2 linked regions of the Arabidopsis thaliana genome follow. The protein of the gene in region 1 purifies or fractionates together with the protein of each later gene. This does not show direct contact. Each region holds a gene or a part of one and is shown in the gene's direction. Other genes may lie near its edges.

Evidence for each region. Proteins that work in one complex are often made in the same cells at the same time.
Region 2: the proteins of AT4G35410 (region 1) and AT1G10730 fractionate together in Arabidopsis thaliana (co-fractionation; one large-scale study listed by BioGRID). This does not show direct contact.

What each region holds. Positions count from the first base shown.
Region 1 is NC_003075.7:16,827,132-16,834,502, forward strand, and holds AT4G35410 (Clathrin adaptor complex small chain family protein), read left to right. Parts: upstream 1-5,207; 5' UTR 5,208-5,440; coding exon 5,441-5,443; intron 5,444-5,792; coding exon 5,793-5,879; intron 5,880-5,952; coding exon 5,953-6,153; coding exon of another isoform or gene 6,154-6,183; intron 6,184-6,261; coding exon 6,262-6,297; intron 6,298-6,408; coding exon 6,409-6,495; intron 6,496-6,590; coding exon 6,591-6,665; 3' UTR 6,666-6,871; downstream 6,872-7,371. Other genes in the region: AGF1 (AT-hook protein of GA feedback 1), read left to right, coding at 2,472-3,371; DRL1 (dihydroflavonol 4-reductase-like1), read right to left, coding at 6,960-7,107, 7,201-7,371. UniProt on the Arabidopsis thaliana protein: Subunit of clathrin-associated adaptor protein complex 1 that plays a role in protein sorting at the trans-Golgi network and early endosomes (TGN/EE).
Region 2 is NC_003070.9:3,562,278-3,570,845, forward strand, and holds AT1G10730 (Clathrin adaptor complexes medium subunit family protein), read left to right. Parts: upstream 1-2,979; 5' UTR 2,980-3,185; coding exon 3,186-3,314; intron 3,315-3,454; coding exon 3,455-3,601; intron 3,602-3,707; coding exon 3,708-3,770; intron 3,771-3,880; coding exon 3,881-4,057; intron 4,058-4,131; coding exon 4,132-4,235; intron 4,236-4,327; coding exon 4,328-4,435; intron 4,436-4,559; coding exon 4,560-4,656; intron 4,657-4,750; coding exon 4,751-4,848; intron 4,849-4,948; coding exon 4,949-5,090; intron 5,091-5,165; coding exon 5,166-5,288; intron 5,289-5,403; coding exon 5,404-5,502; 3' UTR 5,503-5,829; downstream 5,830-8,568. Other genes in the region: AT1G10717 (EMBRYO SURROUNDING FACTOR-like protein), read left to right, coding at 69-277; AT1G10720 (BSD domain-containing protein), read left to right, coding at 687-1,302, 1,403-1,590, 1,684-2,169; AT1G10740 (alpha/beta-Hydrolases superfamily protein), read right to left, coding at 6,066-6,270, 6,339-6,470, 6,552-6,989, 7,173-7,276, 7,364-7,464, 7,560-7,663, 7,764-7,858, 7,947-8,189. UniProt on the Arabidopsis thaliana protein: Subunit of clathrin-associated adaptor protein complex 1 that plays a role in protein sorting at the trans-Golgi network and early endosomes (TGN/EE).

The sequences.
Region 1 (7,371 bases):
ATAAACTTTTTATTTTTAGGTTCAGGTTTACAACATTTAATTTTTAACAACTTTGATTTTTCTTGTTTTTAAAGGGAATAAAACTTTTATTTTTATATTACTATTAAACTTTAAAAGGTATTTTTGGATAAGAGTTAAATTTTTAAATTTTATGTAAACTAATTGGATACATCATCCAAACCCCTAAGAGGTGTTCTAGGTTCAATATATAGTTTACATATTATTTAAATTTTTAACCTTTTTTATTATTATTAAAAAATATTTTAAAACTTATACTTTTATATTACTATTAAATTTTGAAGGTTTTTTTGGATAAAAGTTAAAATTTTAAATTTTGTGTAAACTAATTGGATACATCATCCAAACCCCTAAGAGGTGTTCTAGGTTCAATATAGTTTACGCATTATTAAAATTTTTAACCATTGTTTTCCTTTTAATAAAAAATATTTTAAAACTTATACTTTTATATTACTATTAAAACTTTAAAGGATTTTTTTTATAAGTGTTAATAAATTTTGTGTAAGTGTTAATTTTGTAAAAATAAGTGTTAAATTTTTAAAATTTTAAAGTTTTAAAATATTTTTGGATAAATGCTAGATTTTAAAATGTTGTCTACACTAGTTGGATATATATCATCAAAACTTTTCAGAGGTGTTTTAGGTGGCTTACACATTTTTAAAATTTTTAACATTTGTTTCTGTTTTATTAAAAAATATTTTAAAACTTATATTTTATTATTACTATTAAAACTTTAAAGGTTTTTTTATAAGTGTTAAATTTTTTATAAGTTTAATATGGTTTATACATAATTAAAAATTTTAACACTTTCTTTTGAAAAAAAATATGAAAACTTATATTTTTATAGTACTATTAAAAACTTAAATGTTTTGTTTAAATAATTGTTAAATTTTTAAATTCTTATGTAAACCAATTAAATACATCGTGAAAATCCCTAAGAACTGTTGAAATGTGTCTTTACGCTAAGTAACAAAAACTAAGAAGCCATATTAAGATGCATGTCCATCCATTAGTCGTTGAAATCGAATTAGTATTATTGGCAAGCATGTGCATAAAATTAATTCAGCTTACTTTGTTTGTAACATAAAACACGCCCCCTCTGTAAAGTTTTAGCAATTTTGATATTAGAACATTATAAAATAAAAAAAGCCAAGCCATGTCTTGAGTGGCTCGAGAAATCTAAAAGTTTAAACTAAAAAAGAAATAGGAAGAAAGCAAAGTGCTCATCATGTGAAAATGTGAAATCCACCACTCTTTTCACAAATAACAGCCATGAAGCCCCATTCATTGTCTTCCTCTACTCATTACACACACAAATTCTTTTTGAGCTTTACTCGTCCGATCACTTCATCACCACTCAAAAGAAAATATTCGAAAGTAATCCATATGAGTTTATATATCAGCATGATTAACTAGGAGAGAACAAAATTATTTCCAGTTCATTGTCTAAAATCAAAGTTTTAGGTGGGAAAATAACTACTACTCCTATGTTTTGATCTTTAATAAAAGATCTTGAATGACCAAAACTATTTTTAGTTTTTTTTCAGCAATTGGTTCTTGTCATGTTAATTAAACACACATGATTTATATATCTATAGACTCATGGTAAGAGCAAATGCTAGTATTTTAAAACTTCCGATCTTAATTTTGTAAAAATACTAAAATGTAATAGTTTGAACTTAAAAATAAATAAAAAGAGGACAATCGTTATGTTATTTACCGACAAAAAACACTAACAGATAGTTTGGTCGGTTATAGTTCTTGAAATCAAACAGCGTAACTTGACTTTGGAATAACAATTTACATTCGCTTTGTTTTCTTTTTTTGCTTTAAGATTAGAAAACAAAACAAATCTACAATCATCATATCACCATCACAAAACCATCCCTTCACCGTCACAAAAGGCCTCTCCTTTAACTTCTCTATCTCCGTGATTTACTTCTCCAGAATCCTTCTTTTGTCTCCCGCAGAATCCATCAGTCCCTTCTTAGGTCGTCAACATCTTAATTTAGTTTTTTTGCTTCACTCGAGGAAAAGTCACTACACCAACCCAACATATTATTATATGGATACACAAATATATTTGTATTATTTATATTTATATGTACCTTATTATAGTTTAGAAGAGAGCTGTGTTTTGTGATGCTCTTGCTTTACTTCTTTCTCTCCTTTGTTTCATTCCATTTCACATGAAGATCTAGATCTGGGTCCAGACAAATTTCACCGACCCAGCTCTTTCACATATGTAGACCTCTCTCTCTCTAATTATTCAGTAAGGTTTTGTTCTCTCTTGTCGTCTTCTTGTTTTGTCCGTAGCATTATTAATAATCAAACTCAGTCTCTGAAATACTCTCAGTGACAAACCACTTCTGTCGACTTTTGTCTTTGTCTCTCACTAGCTATAACCAAAAAAATCCAAAAACCCAAACCACAGTTTCTTGTTTTTGTTATCAATGTCTAGTTATATGCACCCTCTTCTAGGGCAAGAACTGCATCTACAGAGACCTGAAGATTCCAGAACCCCACCTGATCAAAATAACATGGAACTTAACAGATCTGAAGCAGACGAAGCAAAGGCCGAGACCACTCCCACCGGTGGAGCCACCAGCTCAGCCACAGCCTCTGGCTCTTCCTCCGGACGTCGTCCACGTGGTCGTCCTGCAGGTTCCAAAAACAAACCCAAACCTCCGACGATTATAACTAGAGATAGTCCTAACGTCCTTAGATCACACGTTCTTGAAGTCACCTCCGGTTCGGACATATCCGAGGCAGTCTCCACCTACGCCACTCGTCGCGGCTGCGGCGTTTGCATTATAAGCGGCACGGGTGCGGTCACTAACGTCACGATACGGCAACCTGCGGCTCCGGCTGGTGGAGGTGTGATTACCCTGCATGGTCGGTTTGACATTTTGTCTTTGACCGGTACTGCGCTTCCACCGCCTGCACCACCGGGAGCAGGAGGTTTGACGGTGTATCTAGCCGGAGGTCAAGGACAAGTTGTAGGAGGGAATGTGGCTGGTTCGTTAATTGCTTCGGGACCGGTAGTGTTGATGGCTGCTTCTTTTGCAAACGCAGTTTATGATAGGTTACCGATTGAAGAGGAAGAAACCCCACCGCCGAGAACCACCGGGGTGCAGCAGCAGCAGCCGGAGGCGTCTCAGTCGTCGGAGGTTACGGGGAGTGGGGCCCAGGCGTGTGAGTCAAACCTCCAAGGTGGAAATGGTGGAGGAGGTGTTGCTTTCTACAATCTTGGAATGAATATGAACAATTTTCAATTCTCCGGGGGAGATATTTACGGTATGAGCGGCGGTAGCGGAGGAGGTGGTGGCGGTGCGACTAGACCCGCGTTTTAGAGTTTTAGCGTTTTGGTGACACCTTTTGTTGCGTTTGCGTGTTTGACCTCAAACTACTAGGCTACTAGCTATAGCGGTTGCGAAATGCGAATATTAGGTTTTATTTATTTATTTTTTGTTTCTCTTAAAACTTGGTGTGTGAAAAAAGAAAACGAACGCTTAAATTTCCTTTTTCTGTTTGTTTTTATGAATAGAATTGGTAAGTTTCATAAAAAAAAAATAGTATTAATTTGTGATTTAATATCTAAACTTACAGAAAAATGTCAAATCGACCATATTAATCGTGAAAAATGTTATTATTAGGGAAAAATGTTATTTAATACCTAAACTTACAAAAAATGGCCAAATTAACCGTGAACTCGTGAAATGGCCGTTTTATCTCTCAACAAAAAGTTGACTTCTATTTTAACTTTTAAGTTTGCGTTGACTCGGGCTAATAAACCACCGTTAAAAATTCTTCTAACAGCGTAATTAACAGCCGTTACAGAACATCCGTTAAGGTGATACGATGACGTTTTGTGCTAAAGAGAAATCAAAATCGAGAATAGAAATTCCCAAAACAAAATCAATTACCCTAAACCCAAATCGAAACCTAATCCTGCCCCCAAAATCAAAATCGAAACCCTAATTGCTTCAATTCGTTTTCTGAAATGCCATTAGTTAGAAAGAATGGCGTCGTTATGAGGATTGGATCTCCAATGCTTCACGAATCAGAGAATTTGGTGGGAGATGGAGTCGAAGCACCACCGCGAGGAGAAAGAGATGAAATTGGAGAAGAAGTTGGGGGTGAAACGAATGTGGTATCTGAGTCTTGTGGCGGAGAAGAGGGAGCACAAGATGCAGCTAAAACAACGCCGGAAGGAGAAGCAGATCGAATTTGAGAGAGAATGATTTTTAGGATTTGGGTTTTGATTTGGAGATTTTTCAGAGGTTTCGTCGACTTTGAAGTCTGTTGATAGCACAAAACGTCATCGTATCACCTTAACGGATGTTCTGTAACGGCTGTTAATTACGCTGTTAGAAGGATTTTTAACGGTGGTTTATTAAACCGAGTCAACGCAAACTTAAAGGTTAAAATAGAAGTCAACTTTTTGTTGAGAGATAAAACGGCCATTTCACGAATTCACGGTTAATTTGGCCATTTTTTGTAAGTTCAGGTATTAAATAACATTTCCCCCCTAATTATTAGGTGAGTAATACGGAGAAAATGGACTTTAATTATATTCGTAAATTGATGTTCACACATTAAGGCTCTAACTAAATCTTCCGATTATTGTCATATAAACATGTTCTAATTTGTGATAAAACTGAACTTCCACTGTCTCGCAGAGAAGGGAAAGAATATTTTGGGAGAACAACTAAAACCCTAATATCTATGATGATGTCAACTTCAAAACACATTGAAACTTGAGAAAAACAAAAATCAAAGAAAATAAAAATAAAGCCTGCATGCAAGAGAATATGCCTTCCCTCCAAGGTTAAATAAAAACAAGCTTATGTGAGAGATTAAGTATGTTCATAACTTCACAATTGTGTCCATTAGTCGCTGCTCACGTTAGTCAGGAGTTATTTCTGTTGGGTCTTATCAAAACTGTTGTTTATGTCTATTTTGATTATGGACTTACCTTTACATTTGCATTTTATATTTTCATTCTTAGTTATAAAAAAATTGCTTATACTTTTCTGTTGTTTGACCCAGCACCAAGTATAAGAACAATTAAAAAATTTGATACCTAAGAAACTAATTCTATAAGATTAATTGAAGAATTATTTTCATTCAAAATCTTTTGACATAATTGCTACGTTTAATGTGTAATGCCCTGGTCTATTCGATAAGATTAAGAAGATAATTGCAATAATGGAACAAAATTAGCTGAGAATGCAATCCGTTTGCATGGATCCGACCCGGAATGCAATCCGTTTTTAATTATGTAAATGACAATTATACCCCTGGCACTCGACATGTTTGACAGTTTGAGCAAAGAGAATTTTTTTCTTGTTGAGGATCATCGATTATCAGTTTCTGGATTTCGCTACTACAGATTTGTCCCGTCTTGAGTTACGAAATCATGGTAACAATGCTCGATCTTCGATTCTGTGTTTACGAATGCTGCCCTGGATTTGAATTTCGCATCTCCGATTCGTTCTTATGCTTCTTCTTCATTAGTTTGATACTTGGATCTGCTCTTGATCGGTGGTTTCAGATATTTCTCTTCAAATTATTCTTTGCAGATAGAAAATTTGGTGACTTTAGTTTGATAATGCTAGCTTCTGGGTTTGATTTTTCGTAGTTTCGATCCTCCTAGTTCAGTTCAATGGCTTCAAATTTGAAACCTTTGTTTGTTGGACTCTTTCTTAAGCTGGTGAGTTGATGATCCTAATAAGAAACCAATGGTGTGTTTTTGATTTGTGTGTTTTCAGATACATTTTGTGCTTCTAGTTAGCCGGCAAGGAAAGGTAAGGCTCACCAAATGGTATTCTCCTTATGCACAGAAGGAAAGATCTAAGGTATGTATTGAGCTTCATTCACACCTTGTTATGCTTTAGCATACATCTCTCATCTTACATGCTATGTATATAGGTTATACGTGAACTCAGTGGAGTGATTCTGAATCGAGGTCCAAAGCTCTGCAATTTTGTTGAATGGAGAGGATACAAAGTTGTTTACAAAAGATATGCAAGTCTCTACTTCTGCATGTGCATTGATCAGGAGGATAACGAGTTAGAGGTCCTTGAGATCATTCATCACTATGTTGAGATTCTCGATCGCTATTTTGGAAGTGTGAGTACCAAAAAAACCAGCACCTGCTGAGATTCCACCTTTACTATCTCTTACCTTAACGGAACCTCTAAATTATGATAAGGAATTGTTTTATCTGATGACCTTCAGGTGTGTGAACTCGATTTGATTTTTAACTTCCACAAGGTAATAGCATGCTGCAAACACTCAAGGACTCTGCCATTCGTCACTTGATTCTCTATCCTCTGCATCTTTATATCTTGCTGACAGTTTCTGGATTTCTTGTTGCTTTCTTAGGCATATTACATATTGGATGAGCTCTTGATTGCTGGGGAGCTTCAAGAGTCAAGCAAGAAAACAGTAGCCAGGATTATATCCGCTCAGGTACTGAGTTGTATGTTTAAGTCATCGACATGAAAATATTAGTGTAGTAGTTTTTTCTTGAGAAATGACAGTCTCTGTCTGTTATGTTGTCAAAGGATCAACTGGTGGAGGTTGCAAAAGAGGAGGCCAGTTCGATAAGTAATATAATCGCTCAGGCTACTAATCGATAAGTAGTCTTATTCATCATCTATGCATTCTTATGCAGTTAAAGTATGTTCCCTGTCTCTGGCTACAGTAATTGTTTTGAGAAATCTTTATCCATTTGATTTTTCTTGCGGAGGGATTTTCGTCTTAAAGCGTAACTTGGAGAGAAGAAATATGTTATGATTTGGTTCATAAACAAGTAAAGATTATATCGTTTGTAATCTTTGATTTCATGTTTTCCAATCCCATTCTTTCATTGTGAATCCACATGACTACTATTTCAGACCAATCTTATTTGCACATATTCTCTAGTCCAAGAGTTATGGAAGAACAGTAGATAAATAGCCTTGCTCGACTAATGAGGCAATGCAGTCATCGAACATCTCTTCAAGGGACTTGAACTTGAGCCCGAGACTCTGTATCTTCGAGGTGTCAAAGTCGTAATGCAACCTATTTAGTTTCTCAAACCTGAAATTTTCAAACAGAGTATCATCATGATCTATGATTTTAAAATTTTACAAGGTTTGAGAGATGGTTTAGTTTAAAGGGTCAGTGTCAAACCTCTTGGGGATAGGGAGTGATGGGTAACGAGCAGATAGGAATGAAACGAGTTCCTCTAGACTGATAACGTTAGAGCTACAAATGTATCTGCCTTGAGCTGCTTCGTGTTCGAAAACGACTATGTGGGTTCGTGCAACGTCATCGATATGAACATACCCCATTTGTCCATGC
Region 2 (8,568 bases), on another chromosome or scaffold:
TACCTTTTTTCTCTTTTTCTTTCCATTGTTAAATTTGGTTTTGTGTGTATGTTCAAATCAATGTGTAGGTGAGAAGATGGAGGTGAAAGAGATAGGGAGATCGAGCAAAATCATTTTACCAGCGTGTATGCATGAGACTTGCTCCGGTGGTTTCTCACTGAAAAATGATTGTTGGTGCTGCTTGCGACTTAAAACTAAACAAGCTCGTTGTTGGAAAGAAAAAGAATTTCCCAACGCTAAGGAGCTTTGTTTCGCCAATTGTCCCCCTCTTGAATAATTTTTATGGATTCTGTCATTTCGAAGCAGATTTTTTTAAAAAACGTTGATAAATCTAAATATGTATGTTGCATATTCGATTTAAGGTTTTTTATGACATTTATTTCGATTTTAGTGGATTCCTTTACATTAATGTTACGATATTCTTATTTTCTATAATTTAAATTCACTGAATATCAACCAATTACATTTCTAAATAAAAATATATATTTTATAGGTGTTAGATAATCCAATTACAGTTGCCACCAAAAAATATGGAATTTAAAACTAAATTACAAGTATATGATATTTAATTTGGATGGGGTTTGTTAGGAAAAGATAAAATAATTTGCATAGTTTTAGTTTTTGAGTCAACCAAATGGATCAATAGATTAATTGAGAAAAAGAAAAGAAAAAAGAAATCAATCATAATGTTTTCGAATTTTTTGGAAAGCTTATACGATGGAATCGGAGACGATGACGCCGCCGACGACGACGAAGACAACAACAACGACGAGAAAACCCCGAAAGCCTCAACGGAAAGACACGATTTCTCGAGAAACGCCGTTCGTTTGTCACCGGAAGAGGAGGCTCAAGCGCGTGGGGTTAAAGATGATTTGACGGAACTTGGTCATACCCTCACGCGTCAATTTCGTGGTGTGGCTAACTTTCTCGCTCCGTTACCTGATGGATCTTCTTCTTCTTCCTCCGATCTATCGAACCATCCCAGGTTTAACCAATCTCGGTCTTCAGATCCTGGATTGAATCAATCGCGTTCTTCAGATCGGGACGAATCGTGTGTTGGAAGTGATACGCCGGAGACTGGAATTAGGTTTAGGAGCTGGGATTTAGAAGAAAAATTGGCAGAAGGCAATGATCCGGAGGATGAGGAAGAAGAAGAAGAGGAAACAGATGAAGAAGAAGAAGAAGAAGAAGAGATCGCTGCGGTTGCTCTTACAGACGAAGTGCTAGCATTTGCGAGGAACATAGCAATGCATCCAGAAACTTGGTTGGATTTTCCTCTTGATCCTGACGAAGATCTTGATGGTAACGTATACATTGAGTCAAGTCTTTCGCTATTAGTCTTCATTGATTTGACTTATAGGCATATCAAAAGTTTGATTATTTCAACTTTTATCTAATGTAGATTTGGAAATGAGTGATGCTCAAAGAGGTCATGCTTTAGCTATTGAGCGTCTTGCTCCGAGGTTAGCTGCATTGAGAATAGAGCTTTGTCCATGTCATATGAGTGTTGGTTACTTCTGGAAAGTCTATTTTGTTCTTCTTCTTTCAAGGCTCAATAAACACGATGCTCATCTTTTGTCTTCTCCACAGGTTAAAAAAACCTGAATCTCAATCTCTTCTTGAGTCAAAATGATTCTTTGTTGTTGCTGTTGTTTATTCAACAAAATCCTTTTGCTTTTGCAGGTGATGGAAGCTAGAGCATTGTGGATGAAAGAGCTTCAGAATCAGACACATTCTTCAAAAGAAAGTAGAGATATGATTCTTGAGGAAGAAGATATTACACCATCAACTTCTAATTACTACAACCATGCTCCTCCTGAGTTTCTTTCTCCAAGAATATATGCTTTTGAACCTCCTTCGATTATGTATCGCGATTTTGAACACGGGTTTGAAAACGCTCAGTTCATCGATAAAGCTGTTATTGAGGAAAAACCAATCCAGAAGAACGACAAAAATAGTGCAAGCCTTAGCCAAACATCTAAAGATGTTGTTGATGATGATGATGATGATTGGCCAGAAGAAGAAGATTCTGCTAATTCTTGGGCTCCAATGTTTACAGTGAATGAGGATGATGTTTCTTTCAGTGATCTTGAAGGAGACGACGATATAAGTAGCTTAGCACTCAAGTCTAAGATTACATCAAAGGGCACAGACCAAAAAGGAACATGAAACATCATCTGGCTTGTTGCTTTGCCCTGCCTCACGAGATCGAATCAATAGAATTGAACATAAGTACTGTGTGCTGAGTCAAATCGTGGAAGTCTTTTGGGTGAGTTTGATTGTTTTGTGGATTTATGATGTTTGCTCTCAAAGAGAAGGAAGAAAGAAAGAAAAAGGTTTTGATTGAAACATGTACAGAAGATTTACTTTGACACTGCAATTTCATTGTAATGTTCTCTCTCGCCAAATGTAATGAAATATTGAAAAGCACTATTTCATTCGCGTGGAACTTAAAAGAAATTGATAGAGAATGGCGCAAGTGAATTCAAGTGTAACAAACTGTTAGAATCATTATTGGATTGGAAAATCATATGGGATTTTATTGCTTATGTTGAGGATTTGTATGTATGAAAATGGGAACAACCAGGAGGAGCTATCATCAATTAACAAAATAACTCCTATGACTTAACTAAAAAACAAATCTATGTTGAAATGTATAACATTTGTCAAAATGCTAGTACTTTGTTAATAATTAAGGGGTGTTATTGGTTTGTGATTTATATAGAGTTTTAGTGATTTAAAAATATTATATAGAATCTGATGTTATTCAATTCAAATTTTCATTTTTTTTTTTTAATTTGGTATTATTAGTTTAAGATTTATAAAAATTAATCTAAAATCTTCGTAAGTAAGATTGCTTCCCTAATACAGAGAAAGAAAGAAAAACCAAGTAAGATTGGTAATACGATGTCGTTTCGCAGAATAATGCAAAGCTGAACCCAATTTAATAAGCTGCACTTTTCTTTCTTTCTCGAGTCTCCCGTCGTTTTTTATGTCAGAACCAATTCGTCAGGTCGTGAATAAGTGACTTTATCGACGAACCACCACTCAGCTGCAGCAAATGATCGTTTAGCTCCGGCGAAGCGTAAAATTCTTCAGATCTCTCTGGAATTAATAATCCGTCTGTTTGATCGATCTGATTCGGCAAATCCTTGAGAAAACAAGGAGGGAAGAAGAAGAAGAACATGGCAGGGGCGGCCTCAGCGCTGTTTCTGCTCGATATCAAAGGTCGTGTTCTCGTGTGGCGCGATTACCGTGGCGATGTCACCGCTGCTCAAGCTGAGCGTTTCTTCACCAAACTCATCGAGACAGAGGTGAAGTTTTAACATTTGGAACTAATGAACAAGCTTGATCAGTGCTTAAAAGGATTCAATTTGATCAGAATCGTTATACTTATGACTAAATGACTAGTGTTTTCTCTGCGGGTTTGCTTACTTTCGTCTAATATGTTCAGGGTGATTCACAGTCAAATGATCCGGTTGCTTATGATAATGGCGTGACCTACATGTTTGTACAGCATAGTAACATTTACCTCATGATAGCGTCCAGACAGAACTGTAATGCTGCCAGTCTTCTCTTCTTCTTGCATCGTGTAGTCGATGTAAGCATCCCTAGTGATTCAGTTTTTTGCATTTCCATCTGTTTTCTGAATTTGAAGAAAAAAGAACGGCACTGTTTCATATGTTACAGTCTTATACTGATCGTAGGTCTTCAAGCATTACTTCGAGGAGTTAGAGGAAGAATCTTTGAGAGATAACTTTGTGGTAGTGGTAAGATAATGCTTCTCACATCTCTTCTTATAACTGTTTTCCCTCTTGCATGAGGTGGATATGTGTGGGCGAAAGTTATTTCTAAAAACATTTACTTATGTTACTGGCAGTATGAGTTACTTGACGAGATGATGGACTTTGGTTACCCTCAGTTTACTGAGGCAAGAATCCTTAGTGAATTCATCAAGACTGATGCATATAGAATGGAAGTTACACAGAGACCTCCAATGGCTGTCACTAATTCTGTCTCATGGAGGAGTGAGGGGTTAAAGTTTAAGAAAAACGAAGTAGGTGCTCAACATTTTACTTTTCAATTGTTTTAGGTTTTCTAATGTTTGCAGACTGATGTTTTGTTTTCCAGGTTTTCTTGGATGTGATAGAGAGTGTAAATATCCTTGTGAACAGTAATGGGCAAATTGTCAGGTCTGATGTCGTTGGAGCTTTGAAGATGCGAACATACTTGAGGTGCGTTCTCTAGTGTCCCTAGTTAACCAACGCATTTAAAATCAAAAGTCCCTCCTCTTTGACTCTCTGCTTCTTTATCCATGTTATTACAGTGGAATGCCAGAGTGTAAGCTAGGCTTGAATGACAGAATATTGTTGGAGGCACAGGGACGAGCAATAAAAGGAAAAGCCATTGATTTGGAGGACATCAAATTTCATCAGTACGTTAATCTCTTGCAACTTTAAACATTCTTTGACAGTCACTCTATCGAGGCCAATTTTTTTACTAACTCGAAAAATTATTGAATACTTGAGTTTTTACACGTCTCTTTCTTCAAAATGTAGGTGTGTTCGATTAGCCCGTTTTGAGAACGACAGGACAATATCATTCATACCACCTGATGGATCTTTTGATCTTATGACGTATAGACTCAGTACTCAGGTTTTAGAATGTGTAATATTGCAGAAATGGTTTTGTCCCCTTCTTAAACGAATTATATCATGATATATCTTATTTTCGCATAATACTTGTTCAGGTAAAGCCTCTTATATGGGTGGAAGCGCATATAGAGAGGCATTCCAGAAGTCGTGTTGAGATGCTAGTAAAAGCTAGAAGCCAATTCAAGGACAGAAGGTAAGTAACAAATGTTACTTAACACGTTTAACCATTACCTGAAATACTGAAATACTGGAATCCTTTAACGCGTTTTGATAAGAGTTCCTTTTTTCTGCAGCTATGCAACAAGTGTTGAGATTGAGTTACCTGTACCAACTGATGCGTATAACCCCGATGTAAGAACATCTCTCGGGTCGGCCGCATATGCTCCTGAGAAAGATGCACTGGTCTGGAAGATACAATATTTCTATGGGAACAAGGTAAGTTCTTATAGTTTAATGTAACACTTGACCATGTAAAGTCGAATGCTTACATTAAGTTTTGAAACAATGTAGGAGCATACATTGAAAGCAGATTTCCATCTTCCAAGTATAGCCGCAGAGGAAGCAACGCCTGAGCGAAAAGCTCCAATCCGTGTCAAATTTGAGATCCCAAAATTCATAGTTTCAGGAATACAGGTTGGTATTACTCACAATGATACGTTATTATCATATAGATCACATTCTTTTTATATTACTGCATTGAAATCTGAAGGCAAACAAACCTGATGTGTGTTAATTATGGGTATTGCAGGTTCGATACCTGAAGATCATTGAGAAGAGTGGGTACCAGGCACATCCATGGGTGAGATATATAACCATGGCTGGTGAGTACGAACTGAGACTCATGTAAAATGAGATCGTTTTTTTGTTTTTACTATTATTTAAGCCATTGTCAACGACACAAAGCAGAGGAAGATCAATGAGAAAAGGAAAAAGATTGAAATATATTAGCTGATAGAATTTGCGGTGAAGGTTGTTTTAGAAGCCATTTTCTTGTGAATTGTTTCATGGCGTTCTCTTTTTTTTTTTTTTTTTTCTGTAAAACTATATACGACAGTTATATATATATTGGGTTACAATTGTTAAACATCGAGTTTTATTTGGGGTTCTTTCAGTTCGTTTACCGATGGAAAATGCATGCAGTCTGGGTGACTACACCAATAATGGTTTTCCTTAAACGTCCGCTAATTTTGTAAGAGTTCACTATATAAATAACTTTGATGAGGCAGTAGAGCAACATGACGAACTAACAAATATTATAATTTTCAAAATGGAAGATATATATTTTACAGTACAACAAATCGAGAGGAGAACAAGAAGAACAATGAATAATCTGTATTAGTAGTAAATAGCCTAAACAAAAACTTAAGCCCTCAACGTAACAACCCTAAAACATTTTTTTTTTGCATGTGATCAATGTACAAAGTTGTTTATTCTGGGTGATGATGATGAACGAGGAGAAGAAGGAGATTGATTGGGGAGAGTCTGAGGAATCTTTCTAAAAACATGTTTCCTGCAACGTTGGAAGATGCTGTCGTATATCAGATCAAACTGAACACCAGCTCTCTCTCTGTTCACTATGAACATTATGTGATCTGCTTCCACTATCTTATAATACCTGCAACAACAAGGTATTCAGATTTTCTCAATCCATCAACGTCATTAGGTCATATATGATTCACTTACCAGATCCCGGGTTGTAATGTTTGACATTCCGAATCGCTCCTTATGAACCGGCTCGGATGCTCAACAGGTAGCCTCGGATGTGTCATTGATATTGTGTTCAATGCCCCGTCGTTCTCTTGCCAGTCCTCATCCCTTCATTCAAACATGTTTTCTTAGACCAATGCAGCAAGGGCTTCAAAAATCAATGTTAAATTTTTGAGTGTTTTTGAGTACCTGTAGCCTTTATAAGGAGGAGAGACATCTTGTGGGAATTTCCATTGGCTCATCTGAAAGACGCGGAGGAAGAGCATCGGGTGGATTCCAAGAACACCTGAAGGGATTGTCATACCCATGACTCTGCGGGTGCGTTTAGTCGCGTAGCTGAAGTAGTAAGTGTTTGGGAACGTCTGGAGATTGGAGTTAATACTTGTTGAGCCTTGGATTGTGAGATCAGGTAAGATCCAATCGCCAGAAGCAAAAGGACCTGCGTTTCCCATTAGGCAATCAACGAGACCTCTCACACCGGTCTTCTTCCAAGAAATGTTGAAGTGATCGAACCCGAAATTGTAATAAGTCTTTAGCCATGAAATGTCCAACCAATCGTACATTATCACGCCTATACGACACAGCTGCAACAAACATATCGGTTTCATGCTCACTCCATCATCTGTCCTGTAACAGCAACAATAAGAATCAACAATTAGGATAAAAGATCTTGGTTTTCTAATACAGGAACATACAATTGCTTCAAAGATCAAACCTTATTTCAAAATGAAGAAACAGGAACATTCCAATCAATTGTAAAGATCCATGTAAATACCGAAAAGAATTGAAAATGTCAGAATGAAAACTAACCGCATGCCATCTAAGTAGGTCCTGGTAGTTCCATTGAATGCCCCGGATAACGATGTCACACTCAGAACCCAATTCTCATTCGTTTCTTCAAACCCTTCAAATGCCTAAACATCATGGTTTCGCATCATTCATCAAACATAGCTTTTAAACCAGAAGATATGCTTCCATTAAAAGAAGGATTCGACACAAACCTGATCTGCAAGCATTTGCTGCAATACACGCACAACTTGCGCACCCGCTGAATGCCCCACAAAATGAATAGGATGATCCTCATCCCATTCAGGGTATTGCCCTAAAACACATACCAAAATCAGACTTGCATTCAACATGAAACATTTGGGGTATATTAGTAGTCTCTTCCAATGAGCATTCATATCAAAATCTAACCTTGTTCGTATCTTCTTCCAAACCGAGAATGTCCACAAGCCTCGCTATGCTCTTCGCCAAAATCAACTACCCCTCCTTTCAAATAATAGAACAATTCCCTTGCCCTGGAAACCAATGTTATCATCACCACAATGCACACATGGTATATCAAGATCTAGATCAAAACAACAAAATCCTAGGAGGTGCAAAAAATGAATCCAATACCTGTCATAGATGCTTGTTAAGGAACCCAAATCAGGAACAAGAACCCTCTCATCTTTCTTCTCAGCACCGCCAAAGTAAGATAAGCCTCCTAATCTCTGCTCAATCAAAGCAATAAGATCAAACCTCAAAACCACAATCAAATAATCAAAAGAACCAAATTTGAGGGGTTTGTTTTTGCATTACCCCTTTGCCAAATCCAAAGATGCCATGAACCAATACAATAGGAGGCAAACCCTCAACATTGGTTTGATTTTGACCGGTTTCTCCGAAAGCGACATTGGACTTAAACAAGTAATCATTCAACGTCTGAGAGATATCTCCGGCAACGGCGGAGCTAAATATATAAAACCCATAAAGCAAATGCACAATAGAGCTCACGAAGAGCTCCGCGAGTTGGAGAGAAGTCATCATCCACAACTTAATCATCTTCTTCTTCTACTTCTTCCCCCAAAAATCAAAAATCGGAGATTTAATAAAAATGAAAAGCAAAAAATCGAGGTAAAGGAATCTCCTTTATCCTAAAAAATCAAAAACTCCCCGGAAGAGGGGAGAGAAATAGAGAAGAGAGCCTTCTTTCAAAAGAACATAAAGAAGATGCTCCTTTGACGAAAACCCAGAAAGGAAGAAAATTCGAAAACTTTGAATTTCCCCGAGAAAATAAAGGAAAATGCGTCGTCTCTCTCTGTCTCTTTTATCATCCAACAAAAAACTTTGTTATCCACTTGTATCTGCCCACCTCTCACCAAAACTAGAAAACAAAATGAGTTTTCAAAAATTGACAATCTTTGAAGCTGAATCATGCCAT